2 linked regions of the Caenorhabditis elegans genome follow. The protein of the gene in region 2 interacts with the protein of the main gene of each other region in a biochemical or structural test. Each region holds a gene or a part of one and is shown on either strand. Other genes may lie near its edges. The genes, in order: ifp-1 and mua-6.

Region 1 (6,709 bases), 6.6 Mb from region 2:
AGAAATGAGCCCGAAAAGGAAAATAAGAGAGTGTGGAAAAGTGGTAGATGAAAATAAAAAAATGTGGCGAAGAATTTGAAAACATGTATCCAATGGAGATGGAAGAAAGAGAAACAGAGCCCAAAACAAAGAAAAAAAGAGGAAAGGGATATGAATTGGTCACTTAGCAGTGCCAGATGTGAATATCCTAATGGTAGAGGATCGGGTTAGGTGACAATGTTTGAAAAAGAGGGTAAGTGGAAGACAGGCGCGCCGATAATGAGTTATGATATGAGTTGTCTATGCCTTTACTCAACCCACACAAACACCCCCGTTAATTAATGAGTGAATCATTTTAAATTTAAACTTGATACGGTTCACTTTTAAATGATAATAATCAACTTTTATCTCATCTGAGGTACTTTTTTGTACTTGGAACAGTTTTTAAAACATTATTTTCTTGGGTCACTCAAAACAGTCCAACGAATAAAATTGGTTTAGCAATAATTGACCGCACGGGAAAGCAATATTTTTACTTGGAAGTTGAAGTGTATTGCCAGATGAACTAGTGGAAAATACTCTGTAGCTTAACCGTTTATTTTTGAAAAAAAAAACCGCTGGAATTTTGTGAAGAAAAAATAGAATTCAAACTTCCATCAAAACTGATTTTCAAAAAAAACAAAAGCTGAAAACTGCTTCTTCTCTTTAAATAATTTCGATTTTAATCTCTAATTTTTGAATAAAAAAAAATTACATTTAGCAGAGTTTCGAAACAGAGCAGATGTTTATAATTGAATCGGGGCAAGTGAGCTTTTTTTGAGTAATAGGTTTATTTTAAATTCAGAATATGAAAGAAATACGAATTACTGGGATTGAATTAAAGAATTATTTCCTTTTTCAAGAAGTGAGTGGAAAAAAATAGGGGCAACGAGTAGAAGTTTCTTGATAAAAAGTGTGAAAAATGAAAACAAGAGAAAATAAAATATATATTTGTTGTTAGAATTATCATGTTATCAGAAATTTGGCATTAGTAATGTATCAATGATGATGATGGTCTGCATCTCCGATTTCAGTGTTGCTCGTGTAAACAAACCACGATTTCACCTGAAATATAATTGGAGTAATCAAAGTTATTGGCAAGAGGCCAGATGTCAATCAGTTGTGTTTACAATTGTAAATCAAAGACTATTTACCTCATTATTCGTGTTTCTGATTGATGTATTGGTATGGATGGTGGTATCGAAGAAGTCAATTTCAGCAATAACTGCTCCTCTTTCATGAGTTGCTCCACGAGCGTAGATCTGTAAAAAATAATTTACAGTTTCTAGTTTATCGGTGACATAGAAGTAGTATTCAGTTTTGCGCCGTTTGAAAAAAAACAATTTTTTTTTTCTACAAGTTAACACTGTTTTCAAAGCAAATCAACTTGAATTTGTGAATTCTAGGATCCTGAATGCTATTATATAAGAACTGATAAACTACACTAGAAAAAGCATAACCTTCAAGCTATCCTTGGGTGCAAGGATCAATCCAACTGGAAGATCAACATATACGCTCTTGTTTCCAAACTCGTGAATAAGTTTGAAGCCACCAACGTCTGCCGATTTTTTCGAGCTTCTATTTACAAGTTGAACAAAATCTGCAGTCACATCCTGTAAGAATTGTTCAGTCCTAATAATATTAAAAAGCAAAGAGTGTTACCGAAATCTTCACTCTCCCCTTGTACCATCTAGTGAATCTCTGGAAGTTGTCCTCGTCAACACTATCGGAACCTGGAATGCGTTTCTTTGTATTTTTTTATAAATATTTTTCTAGCGTGATAGTTCTCTCAACTGTCGTTACATAATACACGTAACAGTAAACTTTTAATCGTAAACGTTATTTTACGATTCGTTTGTGGTGGTTGTGTACGTTTGTCTTATCAGTAACTCTTTTTTCAAACTAATCTGGAAAAAACTAAAATGGTATGATACGATAGTTTTCGACAGCTTAAAAACGTCTCAAAGCTTAGCATTTGACGAGGTGTTGTCAGTCAATATTAAAAGCCGTCTTCCACTCACTACTGCTATGTTCAATTGATCCTTCATTGAGTAGAGTAGTGGAGATGCTATTGCTCACTGAGCCTGTTGCTGCATGATAGCTCGAATGATGTGGCCCTCTTTGGCTCGAGTTCCGATTAAAAGTATCGTAGTATGAGGGGACAGTAGCTCCTTCAGTCACTGGCGTAATTAGCGGGAAGTTGCTATTAATATGAGTGTAACCGGGAGCACGTTCATTAAAAATTGTAGGCTCAACTCGAGGAACGGCACCACCAATTGGATAAGGTTGATGTAAAGCATCGTTGCGACGAATTTCACTATCACGACGTTCGCTTGCAATCCTATCATTGACCGATGAAGTTGGAGTACGAGACGCGTATGGATTGTTAATCTGTGTTGTGTTAATCTGACCTCCCGCGCTAAGGTCTCTCACTAATCGGGTGTTATCTGAAGCACGAATTGTTTCAACCGAATGGCTTGGCAGAACCGGAAGTGTGCCTTGGAGAGTCTCGATTTGAATTCTCTCCCTGAGAGAAGATCGGCTATCAGCACGAGACTCCTGCTGGTACGGAGTATATGATGGACGAATCGGGCTCGCGTCCCTCGAATAAGTATATTCACGAATTGGTTGAACAGGAAGTGTAGCAGGAATTGGAATTGGCGTGTGAGTGATGGTCTCATGAATAGTGGTACCAGTTCTGGACGACGAGGAATCTCTCACAGCGTGATGAGCAGTGTGCTGAACTATTCCAGAAGAAGTTCGGCTATGGTGGTCAGAAATGCTGCTGTAGTTCTGTCGACTAAGCGCGCTTGCTATAACTTGAGTACTTGGCGCATTTGCACGAGGATCTCCAGATCTGTCGAGAAGTTCCCGATATTTTGCGATTTCCTTTTGCAAGTCCTGAAAACGTTAACAATTTAATAAACACACAAAATAATACAACATACAATGTTTAAGTCACAAAGTTTCTCCAATTCAACACTGATGGCAGTGCATTGCTCTCTCATCTTCTCAATTTCCTTTATTTTGAATTCCAAAGTATCCTCGAAAAGCTTGTTATTTTCCGAAATTTCCAGACGATAGAATTCAATTTGTTGAGTGAGAGAATTGTTCTGAAAATTACACAATCATCATGGAAAATAATTTCAAATTCTCACTCTGATTTCAACTTCAGAAACTTGTTTCTGCAATCCAGAAAGATTGTTCTTAACAATCGAAAGCTCCTCTCTCAGTTTGTCATAGCAAACTACTCCTGGCATAGTGGTATTCATTCGATGGATTTCCCTTTCCAAGCGAATTCGAATTTCTTCTTCGTTTCTCAATCTGTTAGCCTCATAATCAGCACGAATATCAGCAATTGCCTTGCGAAGTTGATCGCGGAAGACGTGACGATCCGCATTGCGATCACGAACAAAGTATTTGTGCTCATTCATGATAATCTTTTTGTTGTCTTCCTCCATATTTCGGATACTGTGCAACAACTCATTCTTGCGAAGAAGATATTCTTGTTGCAGACTGACAGCTTGATCTTTTCTCTGAATATAGAGAATTCACAGTCGATAATGAATAAGATAATGAGTCAAACTTCTTAACTGTGTTGACAAAAAATTTAGCTTATCACAAGGAACCTCGCGTTTTTTGAGAGGCAGTGCAAGTCTTTCATGACATTCACGCTACTAACTGAAAAACAGAAAACTTGAGCCAGCTAAGTTTTTTGTATGTTTTTTTTTTTTAACAGATAGTTTTTGGCTCAAAATTATATTTAGCATTACAATCATTATTTCCGTGTTGGGCGAAATGAAAACAAATCATTTCGAAAAAATAAAAAAATAAGTTTTTGAAAAAAAAAATTTATATATGTACCTACTGAATATATTTCAACAATCAAAATACCAGTGTGATTTAAATCTATCCCAAAAAACTGATATCCGAAAAGTTCTTATGAGTTTTTTTTCCAAATCTATCAAATTGAACCTCTATTGTTTTTGCATGTATTAACAGTCTTTTAAAAAATCGAACCCACCATTCTCATCAAATTAATATGCTCAAAAATTCTTCCATTGTTCTGTTTGATCAGTCTGAGCTTATCCTCCATATACTTGATTCTTCTCTTAGTGATACAATCTTCCATCTTGATATGACAGATTCTATGGAACTCATCATCAACCTCTTTGGGAACCCCCAAAGCTGATTTTGCAGTGTGTCTCCAAAGTTGTTCGGCTTCTTTGACTTGATGGGACAACTGGGTTTGCTCATTTAGTAGTTCGTGCCGGCTTCGGTTAATTTCTTCAATTCCCGATCTGACAGTCTGAAAAACAATGATAATATTGATACATCGTATGAATTAATTGTATACTTCAAATTGTTTTTAATCAGAAGTTTCATTTTTTACAGCTGACCAGAATGATAGTATGTTTGCTATCAATAGTAGGCGGCTTGCACGTTTCTAGTTGCCACTCCCTTTATTCTCTAATGATAATTAAAGAAATGAATTCTTCGGAAACAAACGATCGTAAAGATTATTGTTTGTAGTTAACGCGACACGCAAGCAAAGGAAATTATCGTACTCTACGAAAGAGCACAACTTCAATGTACTTTTAAGTCATTAAAACTGTAGGCTTCGTTTCTTTTAACGAGTAAACAAGTTCATCGCCGCTAAAACTTGTGTGAGGGAAACTGATGGTTTCAGCCCACACAGAAAGTAAATAGTGAAAACTGATAGCGCACAAAGAACAAGAATGCTGGAAGCGTGAATAAGACAGCTGCAACAATTGACACTCACCCTGATCTCAACATTGTAAATTTCATTAATTCCACTACTGTCGCTCTGGACTCCACTTTTTAGCAAATTGTAGTCGTGTTCCAAAGCAGTGTGCTCAGCTTCCATATAGTGGACCTGAAAATATTAAATATTTTGTTTTACAGTACATAGAAGAGATGATAGGCAATAACACAAACTCACATGTTCGATGATATCCACAAACTGATCGTTGAGCTGAACAAGGTCTTGTCGCTCAGAGAGCTTAGCTCTTGCCAGATGTAGTAGACAATCCCTAGCGTTAGCGGAATCCATGCGCTGAAACAGTAACCATAAGACCAGAAAGCAAGAAAATTCTAAAAGCAAAATGAAAAATTATAAAAGTGCGACTTGAAAGGACAAAAAATTGCAGAATAAGCAGAAAATAATCGAGTGCGTAAAACTTCTTATCAAAACTTGAAAAGGTGAATTAAAAAATGCAATAGGTGTACGAGCACGAGTGAAAACCGCGAATTTTCACAGTCGTGATGACAGGAAACCGAATCGACTCTTGGAAAATGTTTAATGGCATGCCATTGTGATAGTAAAGTAGGTGAAGAATGCTAGTGAGCATGTTTCACTCGGTTGGCGGTACTTTAGCACGTTTCTTATCACTATTAAAATAAAGAGCTATTTGAAGCGAGAGATAGATGAATCAAGAGGGAGAAGACATTTGTGTGGTCTATGGAGATGAGGGGGAGAGACTGATGCACCGATGTGGAGCAATCAAACTGTACTAACAATGGTGTAATTGTTGTAGGAGGTGGAAATGATTCATTGCAAGTTGCAAATATTAATTTACAGGATAATGTTTTTTACATTTCAGGAAGTTCGAGAAACTGAGTCATTTGTTAAAATACTTTTTATTTAGAAACTCAGTAATTTCTCCAACCTATTGAATTGAAGCTCTGGGCTTCAATTCAGCCCATTTCCGATTTGTTTTAAACATAATCAACTTACCTGGTTAATTGAGAGAACTCATGTAGAAACCATATATTTATTAAAAACAAATTCATCTTCACATTCAGCCGTATAATTGGCCAAAGAATAAATTTTACAAAAAATTTGCTAATGAAAATTTTTTCGCACGCAAAAAAAAAACAGTTATGCCGCTTTAGCTCCTCGAATTCAAAATGCTCCTTTTTCAAATTTGTTTCTATTTTTAATGATACTTCCATAAGTCTAAAAAATAAAAACGTGTGGAATATTTTTTAATTTTAAGCTTAGAAAATAGCCATTTCTAAGCCCAACGAAGAATGATGCGTACCACGTTTATATTGAAAGGAGAAATTAATGAAAGCTCAATTTAAATTTTAAATGAGGGCATACATAAAACACACAAGTACCGATTTTTTAATGTTCAATAGCTTTTGTTTTTTTGTTTTTCCAATGTGAAAACTGCATTTTCTATTGGTAATTTGTGAATCATAGTTACTTTACGCAAAATAACTGATAAGGAATCCTTGAACTGCTCAGGACTTCTCTATTAAAAGAATCAGCAAGGAAAAAATTCCCTGTTTCTTTCTTTTTTCTTTACTGTATTCTTGTATTGAATATATTCAAAAAGTGCGACAACTATGACGCCCACTTGCTTCTTTTCCGGTTTTCGTTTTGTTCATCATCACTCTTCGAGCTCTGAGATCAAAAACACGCCTGGAAGAAAGAACAAAATTAGTATTCCTCAACGAGTACAAATGCCTTTCCAGTTGGTACGCACATTTCTTGGGTAAATGTCGTTTGCTCCTAAACAATTGTCGGAAATTTTTTTGTGTTCAGTGTGATCAATGTTTTTTTATTGTTTTACAAATGTTTTTTTATTGTTCGTGTTAGGAAAGTGAAAAATAACATATTTACAATTAAAAATAGGATGAGTTCCGGGTTAAAACACTTAAA
Region 2 (5,829 bases):
GTTCTGTTTTTCTATGTATTTTTAATGAATATATTTATTGTTATGACTTTTTTCGTTGATTAAGTTGTTTTCAGGAGTAAGAAGTATTTTTTGCACCCATCAACTAATGTTTTCAGACCGCCGCAACTGTGACATGTTGGCAGAAATCTAGGTTTTATCTGGAAGAGCTAGGTTTTCAAAATTTTATCAGCCATTTAAAAAAATTGAGACTTTTAAGACATTTCAGATTTTGAATTTCTTAAAACAAATACAAACATTTCACAGAACCAGCCAGGTTTAATCTTTGACTCACCATTATAATACATGCTGCCCATTGTCACAGTAATGCTCTCGTATTTAGAATAACCGCCACCAGGTCGAATGTGGGTTTTCGATGTATCTTGTCTCGTGTTAACTGATTAGAATCGCTGGGTTGGACCTTGTCTTCTTATCACGGCTCACCGAGCCATTCGTCTGACTTTCTTATTTGCTCTTGATCACGTTATCACCTTTAATATTTCCCCACCTTACTTTTCCTATCAATGTTTCAAATGAAAAATGAACATTCCATATGGCAATTTTTTGATCTGTATAAAGTATTTATTGTTGAAAATGAGTAAGTTACCGGAGGAAAAAGAAACAAAAAAGTGAAAAAGTATATAGCAAACGGAAAAAATGCAAACAGGCAGGCAGCAAAGAGTTGGGGTTCAGATTTCTGGTACAAAGAGAAGAAAACAGTAAATAGCTCAAGCAAAAAGCTAGATTTAGGAAGATGTCGTTTGTTGGCTTTGACGTTGGATGTGTGTCGCGCGCTCCTGCAAAGAAAAAAATAACATTTTATTCTGCACGTAAATTTTTGGGGGTTGAATTACCTCTCCCTTATTGTTGTAAAGGATTGTTTGAACGTTGGCGCCAACACCGAATGTTTCGTCACCTTCGAAAATGAGCACTTCTGGAGGATTGGCGATTCCTTGTCCGCGGGCGAAGATCTGGAAATGTAGAAATTTGTCTTTACAGTGGTTTTTTTAATGTTAAAACACCTCACTTGAATTTCTTTTTTTTTTATGAAAAATGTTTTGTATGAAATTGATTGAAGGTGGAGTAGCGCCAGTCGGGAAATTGTTAAAAACCACTCCTTTGGTCCAAAAATGACCAAACATCTTGATAAAACTTTTCAAAAAAAATTTTTAAATTTTTTATTTACTGTCAAAAAGTGGCAATTACTCAGTTTTTGCCACTCATAATTTTGGAAGTCGATCAAAAAAAAAATTTTTTTTCGACATTTTTTATGTTTTAATTTTGTTTGTATTAAAACATTGTAGGGGTCGAAACATGCGACATTTCTTTGAATTTCCTCAAAAGCTAGTATTTTAAAATTTTTTGGGAATTTGCCAAAACTTTGACCGGAAATTATGAAAAATCTAAAAAAAATTTTGGAGTGTTTTATTATGATATTCGGTTGTTTTGGATCATTATAAGTGCATTTAGACAAAATCCCCACTGGCGCTACTCCACCTTTTAAATAAATAATTGCTTCTTTCAAATTCATTTCTTATTCAAACCTTATTTGAAAACATTTTTTTTCAAAGCTGACCTAAATAATCTCACATCTCATCTGTCCCTTTTATTGATTTCTGTGAACAACGTTTGTCTTCACAGTTTCCATCAATTTGTTTATCACTTTTTATTCCTTCTTTTTCTCCTACATACATCCCCAATCTTTCTTTTTCGAAGCAAAGTTACCCCCCCTTTAGTCATTACGGACGGATGACCTTGCCACACCCAAACGCAATCGCGCATTAGATTATCAATTCGACACACACACACAGAGACAACAACACATTTCATTCTGAGACACCAATTTGAAATGTTTTATACGCGACAGGTCCTGGGTAGCTAGGCTTGTTTCTGAAAGAAGTAGAAATTCGCAAACCTTGACAGATTGGAATGGGTGGAGGATGTAGTCGGATGGGAAGGTGAAGACGATCTCGCGTTTTCCGTCGATCTTTCTCTTAAGCTTCCAGTCTCCGAGTGGCTCTTCTTTGGCTCTGTGTGTGTTTTCCAAAATGACAAATTTGCCTTCTGGGGAGGTTTCCTGAAAAGAAATTATCATTATTGAGTATGTACTAAGTGATAAATTGATTATTTTTATGTCGGAATGATATTATTAGTGACTACAGTCAATGGCCATTGGAAGTTTTAAATTTTTGAACGTCAAAGCTTTATTTTAGCGAAAAAGCAATTTTCAAAAAACTTGAAAATAAATCCCTCACCTTGATCGCCACATTTCCTTTAGCTGAACGTTGATAAGATGTTCTGCTGGAGTGTTCTCCTTTGACTACGCGCATCGTTTCGGTGTCAGCCTCTTCATTGATTGCAGATGTGCGGACGACCTTCTCGACAAGTTGCCGAAGCCCATTTCCTTCAGAATTACCTTCCAACATTTGTCTGTAAACCTTGAGCTCCCCATCAAGGGTTTGTTTAGTGTCAAGGAGCATCTGGAGCTCGACCATGAGAGCTTGGCATTCTTCACGGAGCTTGCGGATTTGTGCATCCTTGTCATTGAGGGCAGCTTCGTAGGATCTTTGGTCATCCTCGAGCTGGTAGTTGAGATCTTCGATTTGTTTCTCAAGAAGAAGATTCCTTGATTCCAAATCAGAAAGCTTTTGGCGGAGCTCGGAAGTTTGATTGCGGAGTCTCTTCACCTCCTCTTTCTGATAGTTGTTCTCCGCGTTTTGGCGGTTGGATTGAGTATTGATCTCTTGAACTCTCAACTGGTACCAGGATTCCATGTCATTACGGTTTCCATTCATGATCTGGTCATACTCGGCACGAATGTCACGCATAGCATTAGCGAGTTCATTCTTGAAGTACTCGCGGTTTTCACTAGTGGTGTCACGAGCAGCTTGAGCCTGAAGCTCCTTGAGCTCAGTCTCAAATCCTCTCTTCATGAAGTCAATCTCCTCCAGAATAGTCTTCACCTTGTTTTGGTTGTCGATACGAAGAAGGGTTTCCTGGTCGAGCTCCTGAAATTAAAAATTGTATCTTTTTTTCCGAATACTTCATGATTTAGTCACTCACAATGCGAACACGTTGGAGTTCAGATGTGAGCCGGAAGTTTTCCTTTTTCAGGCGAGCAACTTCTTCCTCAAGGAGGGCGATGCGTCTCTTGAGAAGGTTGATCTCGGCTTCGAGGTTGGAAAGGGTAACCAAAAGATCATCAATCTTCAAACGATCTTCAGCACGCCCTCTTTGGGCCTCTTCAAACCTGAAAATAATATTCAATGTGAATTTTGTTAGATATAAACGGGACCGGTATTAATGGTATAGGATATACAAAGTTTCAACTTCTTAACGGAGTGATACTGGAGCAATGGCTAGAATTGCTCAAACTCTCCAGAATAGGATCCAGATTTAGCAGATTATCAATATAAACGAATCATTACGGTTTTCATATTTACTATGGTTTCTCATCTCAATTAAACTCACTTCTTTCGCAACTCGTCGAGTTGATCCTGAAGCTTACGAATCTCCTTTTCAGTCTCTCCGTGATCCTTTCCTGTCTGCTTGACAACATTGGTGGCAGTGGTGATCTCCATCTCATACATAACTTTCACAGATCCGGTACTTTTTCCAAATCTTCCTTGGAGCATCTTCAGATCGGCATCCAACTTTCTGTTCTGAGCATCAAGGAATCTGACCTTCTCAATGTAGCTAGCCAAACGATCATTGAGCTCCATGATTTCTTTCTTTTCACGCTCACGGTTGTCTCGGATGGTGGACGCAGCATTCTGTCCGTATGGGGAGAGTCCACTTGAAACTGAGGAAGAGTGAGTTTCGGTGACAATCTTCAGCACACGATTCCCTGATCCTGGTGCTCCATAGTTTTGACTACTGCTGGTAACAGTGCGGTTGAATGATGGGCGAGAGGTGATGGAGCTGCGGTAGGAATCTGGATCGGTCATTATGTCTGAAAATTTTAAATTGTTAGAAAAATCTATGTTATAATATATTGGGGAGCAAGAAAATAGAGAGAAGTTGAAACAATCAGATTGTCTAATTTGAATTGTTTTATGAAAACTTAGAAACAAAAAAATATAGCAATTCAGGGACAATGTGAGAAAAATGACAAAACCCGAGACACACCCTCTTGAGAATATAACTAACCACACCTACATAAGTAAATCGAGAAATTGAAAACTGGGAGGGGAGGTGGAGGGCGACATAAAAACTGCCTCACCTCTTCCTTCCCAACCCATCAACATTTCTTGTACACGAAGAAGGTGGCGGATCGGGAGGGGCTGGAGATGGGCGGCGCAGTGAAGATGATGGAAGGGAGCGGTTTTCTCCAATTTATCGTTTTTTTTCTCTCTCTCTTTCCTGACCACTTATCCATTCGCAATCCCCGCCTCCATTGGTGATTGCAAAAGTGACGAAGATGGACATGTTCCCGTAAGTGAATTATTGTTCTACTACCAGAAAAGGGTGTCGTCCAGATGAGTCAGGAGTCAGTTAAAACACGATTGGGTGTGGTTTTGATTAATGATTATTCGTCTTGAGAGATTGTGAAGTTTAACTGTTACATATTCTATTCAAATATTCGATTCGAGGTGACTAATTGATAGATTAAGTGATAGATATGTCAGAATTCACCCACTTGCCTCGAATTAAAATGATTAGATAAATGTGAAGAGACAGCAAAAAAGATTTTTAGTGATTGAACTTCGGCAAACTTCAAAGGAAACTTTCTTAAATGTTTGTTCTTAGTTTCAAAATGAAGAAACTAGTTTCAAAAAGTAATTAGTCAAAGAACTACAGTTTTTTTACACCGATCTAGCTGCAACATGAATTTTGGTTTTTTTTGTTGTTATTTTTGAATAATCAAAACAATTAAAAGCCAATAGTCTTATTTAATATTTGTGCTCTAGTTTTCGTTAATTAAAAAAGGAATATAAATAGAATTTGAAATCAGCTCCCTTAAATGATTTAACTACTTCTTTCTCCGTAAAGTGAAAAAAATTTGAGAAGAAACAAAGAAAATTTTAATTTTCTACTGTTCCTAGGTAGGCAATAAGCACAAGCTATAACTGTAATAAACTTTAAGGTGAAGTAGCGCAAATGGAGATTTTGCCTAAATACACTTATAATAGGCCAAAACCACGAGGAGAATTGCCAAAATTTTGAAAATATGAGTCTTTTAAGGAAACCCAAAGCAATGTCGCATGTTTCGACCCCTACAATGTTTTAATACGAATAATTTAAATAAAATTGCATTATAAAATATGTAGAAAAAAAAATTTTTTTTGGTCGACTTCCAAAATTATGAGTGGCAGAAACTGAGCAATTGTCACTTTTTGACAGTAAATAAAAAGTTTTCCAATTTTTTTGAAATGTTTTATCATGGTATTTGGTTATTTTGAGACCATAGGAGTGGTTTTTGACACATTCCCCACTGGCGCTATTCCACCTTTACAACTGAATCAACTAACTGTTGTTTATTAGAATATATTAAAACATATAAATTTAGATGTCGAAAATCAGTGAATAAAAAATTAGTAAGAAGTAGTTTAGGTCATAATGAAATGGCGCTCAATGTTAGATCAAAAAATATAAACTGAAAGACAAAGAATGGATGAAAATTTGAATTGAGTCATGGCAAAATACTGCATGAAATAAATAAAAAATTACGGTTCCGTACAATTTCGGCTTGAAAATAAGAAGAAAAAATTAACTAAGATGGGGAAATTTCTCGTATTGTTATCCGAGCAAGGTTAGATTTATGAAGTTGTAGTCTGTTGGCTTTGGCGTTGCATGTGTGTTGCGCGTTCCTGCAAAAAAAGATTCTAAATA

What was found.
Region 1: the proteins of mua-6 (region 2) and ifp-1 form a complex in vitro, tested with the Caenorhabditis elegans proteins (one study listed by BioGRID).

The regions. Positions count from the first base shown.
Region 1 is NC_003284.9:9,675,075-9,681,783, forward strand, and holds ifp-1 (Intermediate filament protein ifp-1), read right to left. Parts: upstream 5,096-6,709; 5' UTR 5,093-5,095; coding exon 4,982-5,092; intron 4,916-4,981; coding exon 4,802-4,915; intron 4,328-4,801; coding exon 4,043-4,327; intron 3,555-4,042; coding exon 3,177-3,554; intron 3,132-3,176; coding exon 2,967-3,131; intron 2,920-2,966; coding exon 2,040-2,919; intron 1,752-2,039; coding exon 1,681-1,751; intron 1,632-1,680; coding exon 1,479-1,631; intron 1,281-1,478; coding exon 1,173-1,280; intron 1,084-1,172; coding exon 1,018-1,083; 3' UTR 799-1,017; downstream 1-798. UniProt on the Caenorhabditis elegans protein: Cytoplasmic intermediate filaments provide mechanical strength to cells. Not essential protein.
Region 2 is NC_003284.9:16,261,738-16,267,566, forward strand, and holds mua-6 (Intermediate filament protein ifa-2), read right to left. Parts: upstream 3,950-5,829; 5' UTR 3,945-3,949; coding exon 3,469-3,944; intron 3,248-3,468; coding exon 3,061-3,247; intron 3,006-3,060; coding exon 2,253-3,005; intron 2,075-2,252; coding exon 1,913-2,074; intron 969-1,912; coding exon 852-968; intron 795-851; coding exon 744-794; 3' UTR 552-743; downstream 1-551. Other genes in the region: Serine/threonine-protein kinase sgk-1, read right to left, coding at 293-314; Intermediate filament protein ifa-3, read right to left, coding at 5,757-5,807. UniProt on the Caenorhabditis elegans protein: Cytoplasmic intermediate filaments provide mechanical strength to cells. Essential protein, involved in attachment structures in epidermal cells that connect muscles to the external cuticle.